Linked DNA regions of Drosophila melanogaster. The protein of the gene in region 1 interacts with the protein of each later gene in a pairwise test. Each region holds a gene or a part of one and is shown on either strand. Other genes may lie near its edges. The genes, in order: qtc and CG8997.

What was found.
Region 2: the proteins of qtc (region 1) and CG8997 interact in a two-hybrid assay, tested with the Drosophila melanogaster proteins (one large-scale study listed by BioGRID).

Annotation. Positions count from the first base shown.
Region 1 is NT_033779.5:5,058,928-5,064,061, forward strand, and holds the start of qtc (quick-to-court), read left to right. Parts: upstream 1-1,887; 5' UTR 1,888-2,063; intron 2,064-3,708; exon of another isoform or gene 3,709-3,813; 5' UTR 3,814-3,815; coding exon 3,816-4,283; exon of another isoform or gene 4,284-4,515; intron 4,516-5,134. Other genes in the region: Rpn11 (regulatory particle non-ATPase 11), read right to left, coding at 1-623. UniProt on the Drosophila melanogaster protein: In adult males, modulates sexual behavior by playing a role in sex discrimination and maintaining normal levels of sexual activity towards both males and females.
Region 2 is NT_033779.5:13,843,230-13,847,348, forward strand, and holds CG8997 (uncharacterized protein), read right to left. Parts: upstream 2,097-4,119; 5' UTR 2,034-2,096; coding exon 1,964-2,033; intron 1,900-1,963; coding exon 1,187-1,899; 3' UTR 686-1,186; downstream 1-685. Other genes in the region: CG33306 (uncharacterized protein), read right to left, coding at 1-343, 399-477; CG7916 (uncharacterized protein), read left to right, coding at 3,549-3,654, 3,725-3,890, 3,946-4,119.

The DNA.
Region 1 (5,134 bases):
TTCTTGCGGTAGTTTATGCTAATCGAGTAGTAGTGGCGATTGAGCCCGTGGATCAGGGCCTGTACGGAGGGCTTTTGCAGATGACCCAAATTGGAGGTTGTCTGCCGGGGCTCCTGTCCCAGCACAAGCATGTTGGGATTGATCAGGCGGAAGGCATCGATGACCACTTTGCCCTTGACAGACTGAATGGGATCGACGACGACGGCTACGGCTCGCTCCGACAGCGCCTCGAAGGATTGCTGCGTATTGATGTCCACGCCGGACAGCCAGCAGCCGAAACCGGGATGCGAGTGATACCAGCCGACGACCATTTCGGGTCGACCCGTCTGCTTCAGCATGTCCAACATCTTCGCCTGAAAGACGGGATCCACGGCCTCTACGGATACTCCAGTACCCGTTTGCGGCATGGCGAACACATCGATGACCTGCACCGTGTAGTCGTCCACGAATTCGCCCAACATCAGACCCATCACCTCCATGGGCACGCCGGCCCGTCCGTGCTTAAGCATCTTGAGCAGGGCCAAGGACGAGATGTACACCTGCTCGGCGGTGTCTACGACGGGCGCATCTGTGGGCGGGGCGGCCTGTGGCATAGCACCTCCAAGACGTAGCAGACGATCCATTTTATGCGGCTACCCGGGCACAAGGATACGAATCGGGGTTAGAAACAATCGAAAAGCGCTGACTAAGCCAAGTGCTCACCTCTGGGATTTGTAGACACTCTGTGATCGGGGGCAAGTATCAACTATTTCCTACTGTTTTACGTGTAATTTACGTTCCTCGTCGAAAGCAGCAACAAAAAACACAAAGCCGTCTCGTTTGATTTTGCAGAATTGCAAGTAATACTCGCAACAGGGTTGTATCGCTCATCGCCTATCGAAAAGCTATCGGCGGGAGGAGATGACGATTTGCCTAAATTTTAGCTTGATTATAGCAAAGCTATAAAAATATTTCAATTACGTTCAATGTGTAATCAAAGCTAAGCTTTAGTTGTTGTTATGTAAATAATATGAGAATACGTAACTATAGTAGGGAATAATGAAATTAACTAGTTGTTGTCAAGGATGTATTGGAAAGGCTACTTCTACCAAAGTTATTTCATATAAAAATAAAATTAACCTAATTATAAAGAGTCCGCTGTAATATTTTATTCTATATTCTTCAGATTATTTGTAGTAGTCAATTTGTTTGTGGAATATTTTAGCATATATTTAAGTCTGCTATTTGCCAGCACTGATCAACACTGTCTTTATATCGATACATAAAACTATCGATAATGGGAATTGGCGCCAAGCTCGAAATTTTTAAGCGGATAAAACTTAAAAAGCAAACTCAAAGGACTTGAAAGTACTGGAAAGAGTGTATTCCGATGTTATATTTGGTACAACAATAGAATGAGTGTGTAGTGTGGTCGAAAGTGAAGTGAGCTGAGGAAAACTAAGACTTTCCGCAAGACCGAACACCACAAAATTTATAATGCACCATCCATCCGCCCGTCAAATGCCATGGGAAATGAGGTCTTCGCCGGCAAAACCGAAACAATTTGAGCAAGTACAATGCAGAGCCGCCTTTTGTTTTTATTGTGCCAATTAATTGCACCAAAAACCTTTTGCCTTTTGGATGCGGCGCCTTCTTTATGCCTTTCACCTCGCTCTTGGCGATGGGGATTCCGATTAAGAGATTCCCAGACCGCCAGACGCTCGAAAATTCGCTTAAAATGCCATCAAAAGGTGGGACGACGCCACACACCGGCTACAAAATCCAAAGCCCAAAATCCATCCGATTGCAACACACGGACTACTCCATTTTCCGTCTCGCTTTGGTAATTGAACAATAGGTTTTCCATCTGCCAGCAGACTTTTCCATTCGCCGCTCGGCTTTTCAGCTTCAGTTGCATTTTGTCGCTCGCCTCCAGCACGCGCACTCCACACAATTGTTGTTAAAGTTTAATAGTTTTATACTTTTCGCTTGGTTAAACGTTGTGCTCAAGATATTTGCAATTATTCGCATACAAATTGCGAGCAAATAGTGCACTCATTTGCCGCAAGCGTAGCCAAACTCAGGTAATTAAATACAAATTGTGAATACTTCTAGCTGAAAGGTGGCGAATTTCAGCTGAGACCGACATATTTGTGTCGATTTTGTATTTCGCTGTTGACTTGCCCTCTTATCACCCAACGAAACACAGCCACAAAATTGTTATTGTTGATAAGTGAGAGACTCGAACTTAGAGAGCTTTTTTTTTACAGGGGGTGTGTGTGTTCTATTAGTACACAAAAAATAAAATTCGGTAATAATGTGTGTGCTTAAATCGAGTAAATCAAACGAGTAGTAATTCCAAATGATTACTTTAAACTAATGTATCTTTGAGTTCTTACTCTCACATATAAAGTAAGTATTATTATTCTAGTGGCTAGTGAACTCAGCAAATTTTTCGCTCTGTGTACTTTTAATTACTTAAACAGCTGCTTGGTATTTGCTTAGGCCGAAAACAAAAGAAACGTGCTCCATTTCGCCATTGATTAAATAGTTTCACATCTGACTTGGGCATCTTAAACGCTATCCATTGACCTTGTCAACGCTTAAATCAATCCCGTTCGAAGAAATGACGTGAATGCACTCAATCTGGTTACAAAAACGTGGCAAATAAGCACATAGCCGATATTAAAGGGGGGGGGGGGAACAAAGTGGAGAAAAACACGTTTGTTCAGCTGTGAAATTGACCTTTTATGGCCTAACTCAACCCAAAACCGCCCAAAACTGAACATTTTGTTGGAGCCGTCTGAGTTTGAAAGAAATGAGCGGAAATACTTTACAATGATAGTCGCTCTAATTGCTACCAAAAGTGGCAGTGGAATCCCAAAGAAACAGAGAAGATAATAAGGGTCAGATGGGTAAAACAATTATTTTGGATGTGGGAAATGTTTTTGGGGGTCTTGCAAAGAGATTTTAAAATTGTAGAAATTAAATATAAGAAATTAATGGTAAATGCTTATAAATAATATTTAATTGAAGTAGTCTATAATAACTAGAATGCCAGAAAGCTTAAAAAGATAACACTTGATTTCGCATTGATTTGCCAACTGACACAGAAATTCTTATCACCTTTGATGTCTCACTTAATTGCTGATAGTGACAGAAAATATTCAACTGAATTTCTCGCACCTTTTAAGGTGTCAAATAAAATAAAAATTATTTAACCCAAAGACCTTTGAGATCGTATCAACTTGTGTAACTAGAACAGGCAGATACAATACATTGAAACCATTGAATCCACAGAAACCAAAAACGAAAAAGATCTCAACAAACAAATTTCGTAATTATCCGCGGAGGAAAAAACTGAAGAAAAAAAAAACAGAAAACACGAAAACAAAAACCTGAGAGTTGCATGTCTGGGAAAATGCTTAATTTCACTTTTCATTTGGGATTTGCCCAGCAAATCAGTGCAACAATTGGCGAGCGGAAAGGAGTGAAGATCGTAATTATTAATTACGGGCTGAAGAAAGTTTTTTAATTACCCGACGAGCGTTTAAGATAATGAAGTCGTTTATCCGAGGCATTCAATTATTAAATTGCTTACATTTTGAAAGTGCAACCAGTGATTAGAAATTGATTTTAGCTCAATTTGTATGCAGCTCATTTTGCCAATCATAATTTTGCATTTCACTTTCATAGTAGTAAAATGGTTAGTTAACTGTCTTTATATTTAAATTTTTTAGTTGCTAATACTAGCTTGAACAAACATTTCATGTTCAAACATTTAATTTGATTAAAAACACGTCTGTAATCTTGCAATTATTTCTCTCTCTGCAGAAATGATGACGTCGCTGCAGCTGGAGACGTCACTGCCGGCGGTGGAGGAGCAAGTGCAGCGGGAGAAGGACAACGATTCCGCCGAGGACTCGCACACGGCATCCACAACGCCCACACGCATTCCACATCCCGCCGTGGCGCGTTTCCGGCGTTCCGCTTCTCTGCGCCTGCGCGGGAATCCCGCAGAGCTCGGTTTACGGGCTGAGCACTGTCCAGCCGGCGGAGGCGGATTCAGTTCGCGCGCCAAGCTCACAGCGATCCCATCCAGTCTCGAAACGCGTTCGCACCCGGTTCACTTGAGGCGTAATCGCAGCTGGTGCAATTTAGGCCACAAAACGGAGCAGGAACCGGAAGTGGAGGCTTCCACGGAGGCACTATGCAACGCCGCCCAGTGCTTGTCATTGGATAAGGAGGCACTGGCTCCAAAGGTGGGCAACAGCAGCATGGCCAACGGCAAGCCGCGAAATTTGGTGAGTTGTTGTAGGTGGATTGGTGGGCGGTGGGACTACACAATATTCTGTATTGATTTTCACTGCTGGTAATTGACGAGCCGCCCTCGCACGGCGGGTTAAAGGTTACGAGGTGGTGGCTACCACAATACGCACTCGTTGTGGTAAGTAATGAGTGTATTACGAAACTATCTACGGAACTCTAGAGGCATTTTCCGGGAATTCAGGAGCACTCCCAATGAAACACTCCCACTGGAAAGGCAAAATATGTTTAGCTTACCTCATGAAAAGGCAACTAAGTTTGTTCTAGACTTATTAGGTACCCTGGAAAGAGTGGGCTTTCAGGTTATAAGATAGTTTACACTTTCTGAGAACTGACTAGTGCATTGATTGTTATCTAGATAGTTTGTTTTCTTCAATAGCTTGTAATTTTTTATTAAATGTGATTTTTACCGTTTATAAAGATATTAAATATTAAGTGAAAAGGTTTATAACCTACCTTAGCCTGCAGCTTTAGCCAAGTTAGTAATGACTTGGCATGTTTCAAGTTTTGCTTCAAGTTTCCTGGAAAGTTACATTTAATTGATTTAGCTGGCTAATGCCATTTTGTCACTTGCACTTTTGTTCATGTCGTGATGACACGCAGCTTACAATTTTGTGCTCTTCCCGCCGACAGCGATCATTAAACCAGATACAGTACATAAATATATATATGTACATATATTTGTACCGTGCGAAGGGAACAAGTAAGAAACCCAAAGCCGAGTTTGCATAATACTGGGGAAATGGGAGAAAGGGAGAAAGAAAGAAGGTAAAGACAAACACAGCTTACACACGCTGTACCTTCAACTCAACCTCTCTCTCAACCCCCC
Region 2 (4,119 bases), 8.8 Mb from region 1:
GCAAAGAAGGCGCCACCGTTGCGCTTGATGCGATAGCCACTGCCCATGTCCATCTCGTAATCGGTGGTGAAGTTAAGGCTGGCAAAGTTGATGTTGAAGGTCAAGCGACTCCTGATCACGTCCATGTTCATGGTGATAATCTCGTACTGATCGAGCCCCTGAAGTTCAAAGTTCTCGACTCCAAAGGTGCCACTGAATTCTCCCGAGTTGATTTCGAACGACCTCTGCGCCGCCTTCATGGGTGCCATAACGGGGATTCCAAATCTCGGGCTACCATTTTGCAGGACGACCCTGAATGCCTCCAATCCGTCCACAATTACGCTGGAGAAAGAGCGTCCTTGGGCTGAAAATTAACTATGATTATTAAATTTTCCCTAAAATTTTCTTCATATTCTCACCTGACAAAGGTTCGGCAACTTCGGCACCTTGACAGCTGGCCAGGGCCACGATAAGCGCAATCAGGAATGCAGACTTCATTCTTAGCACAGAACACTAGTTAACCCTTTTGGCAATCAAAATCCACTAGTCGAAGCTTGCCAAATCCATTCCTCTTATATAGGAAAATGACCATTGAGATAATCTATCGGTACACAGCACAAAAATATCAGTGTCTAGATTAAAAAATTTTAATATTAGGAAAACTTCTATGTACAGTGAATAAACAGTGAATGCTTTCTTGGCTTATATTTACAAAAACATGGTTGAAATATGGAACAATTTGTTATTTATTCTTAAATAATTAGTGTTTATAAAGGTTTAAAGAAATATTAGGGGCATTCCTCTCATATCAAAATTATTGTTTATTGACACAAAATGGTGAGGTATTGAGTACAGTGCTCTAAGATATTCCCTTTGATATAAAAATCATATTCTGAAAATCGCTATATCTTATTATATTATTTTGTATGAATCTACATTTTTTTTCTGTGCATGTGAAGTAGCTTTATTAATCGGCAAATAATTTGGCAAAGTGTTTTATGACAGATAGGACACAACTTGAGATTAGACCGTCTTTGAAATATAATGAAAGCTGATGGATGTTGTAAATATTAAGCTTTTTAAAACATCGTTTAAATTTCCCAATGCAATGAACAAAAAAAAACCCACCGAAAGCCAGTCCCGCAAGAAAAGAGCCAGGTGACGAATTCTTGATTCATAAACGGTTGTTTAATGACCGATGATTTGTTTACCACTCGAACTCGGGGGGAATGCAGGCCTCCTTCTCTCCACCCTCACCATCACCACCGGCACCGGAGATGATCTCGGCGATGCTGATGTCGTCCAGAACGCTGTTGACGGCGGGCAGGGCAATACTCTCGATGGTATCGGCAATCAGATCTTCGTTCTCATTGATGGCCAGCTCCACGGCCTCGGCCAAGTACTCATTCATCTTCTCGTTGATGCTGCCATCGCCCAGGATGCCCTCGATCTCGGAATCAACCTCACCCAAGTGGGTGCGGACCTCCAATGACTTCAGCTTCAGGTTGCCGCTGATCACGCCGAGTGAGTACTTCATAGTGCCCCAGATAACCATATCCTTGATGGCGAATTTGGCATGTCCGGCACCGATCAGATTGATGGTAAATCCGTACTTCTTTAGCAGCACACTCAAATCGTATTGGGTATCCACGTTCACGTCGCGGAAAGTGAACTTGTAGGTCACCTTGCTGGTGATGGCGTTGACCTTCATCTCATCGATATCAAAATCATTCAGACCGTTCAGGCGGAAGTGATCAATGGTTCCCTGAGCCTTCAGCACGCTGCTATCGATGTTGATATCCTGATGGTCAATTCTAAGAGGAGCCAATGGCGGCAGGCCGACACTGGTAAAGCCACAGGGCATCTGCTCCTTAATGCCCTCGATCACATCCACAATCGTGCTGGAGATCGACTGGGTTTCTAGAGAATCAAATGGATAGGTATGCTAAATATTTGGGCATTGGAAATCATCTGGAATACTCACCAATGGGCTGGCCCATGGAAGCCGCACTGGCAACGGCCACAAAAGCCAAAATAGCCACGAAGATTTTCATTATTGCTTTGACTGAGAGTCCTACCGACTGATCGTAGTACCTACGGTATTTATACTACTCAGTCGTCCGGTCGCACGAGTCGCTTTTTATAGACGATCAACATTTCAGGTGGGGTTGTGATAAGGTGGCTTCGTACTCGTGAACGATTTGATTAGCCACCGGGCGTTCAATCGATGGCCTATTGCTGTCTTATCTCGGCCAACGATTCCCCGGTTGGCAAATTTTTTAATTTTAATGATTAGTTATATATACATACATGGGGGTACTTATCCTAAGGAAATGATCAGATTTAAAAAGACAGTTTTCACTAAAGTACAAACATTGCCTTCTTGTGGAGGAGTGTCAAGATCAAAGTCTATTTGGGGTGTGTCCCCGCTTTGTTATGGTTAGAAGGCTTCAAAAAAGTGTGTTTTTCTAAAACGTTTTCTAAAAAAGAAGGTGTAGGATTAGTGGTTGACTTGGAAACAAGATTTTAAAATCATTAGTTTCGCGATTACAGAGTACTCATACATTAAATGTATGGTCTTACGAAAACTTTCCATCAATCGATATTTTAAGGTCATGCAGGTGTTGAAGCCAATAGGAAACATTTTAACAAAGTAATTATCAAAATTGAAAACGACTACCAAAAATTTAGCATGATTATAATCTTCTAAAGAAGTCTGTTTGGAATTAAAATTCTCCATGCACTTCTGCGGATCTAAAGTCTGCGAAAAGTTTGTTTATTGATTAACAATCAAGTGATTTTTAAGTGCATTGAGTGATTTATGAATGATATCTCGACTGGGGTATTTAAAGGTCTTACGAATGGATCTATTAATAAAAAAATCCAGACGATTAACACCTGATGGCTAGTCAAATACTCTCTTAACGAATTATTGGCTTTAAAGTTAACGCCAGTCCTAGCCCAATATGTTTATCAATAAGTAGTTTACCCATTGTGTTAGTTCCCCTTGTAAAATCGTAATCAGAATAGCAATAAATCACTTTTTAGTACGCCTTTAAGGTTCTAAAGAGTACAAAAAAGCCACTGAAGCTCTGAAGACAAAAGAATTTACCCCCACTGAGTGATACGAATCGGTCATCCAGTGTAATCCGCCGACACCTGCATGGAGTGGTTGACGCAGTTTTACCCCCGGTAGACCAGTTATTTGTGTATAATCCAGATCGCAATGATAGGCAATATATATTCTTTAAGTGATATTGACAATCGATTGGCCAATTGGACGTCGAGATTAGGCCAAAACAAGCCACTCAGGCGAAACAAGTGCTCCCTTTTTTTACAAACCACTTGCCGAATGATTTGATTCCTTCGTTTTTAAATCGGAAGCCTATCGTGAATTGGGCGTTATGTTCATGGCAGCTCCGCTAATCAAAAGTAGCGATTAGCATTTGTATTTGTTAACCTGGTTAAGTGATCCCTTCCCTTCCCCTCGGCTTGCCCTTCGAATCCGCTAGCTTTGCTATAAAAGCCACTGACCGGCTGGGACAATCAATCAGGTGGCTGGCTATACAATGAAAGCTATCGTTTGTGTTTTTGTGACCCTTTTGGCCTGCGTAGCGGCCTACGATGTGGAGCTGCTCACCGAGGAGCAATGGGACCAGCTGGTGGCGCGTAATCGTAAGTGTCTTAAGCCATCCATCACCTGACCAAACAGAGGACTAATTGCAATGTGATTCCCCGCAAACAGCCGCCAAGCCCGATACTCAGGGTCTGATCTTGAACGGATCGGTGAAGAAGGCCATCAATGGACTGCTGAACCAAATGCCTTGTGGTTGGCCCCAATATGGAATTCCACCACTGGATCCCTACACCAATGCTGATCTCCGCATCCACTTGGCCGAGTCGGTTGTCGAGTGAGTTATAATTAATTGGAGTGATTGTATCAGTGGATCTAATAGTCATCCTTAGTACCCTGCTGCAGTTCCTGCGCTTCCGTTTCGATGGCCTGGAAGGCATGGAGATCAAGAAGATGAAGGTCAGCTACACCTTTAGCAAGAAGGTCAAGTTCCACTTCAACTTCCCAGAGCTGAAGGCCAGTGCCCACTATTTGGACACCAACACCTTTGTGAATCTGCTGAAGGA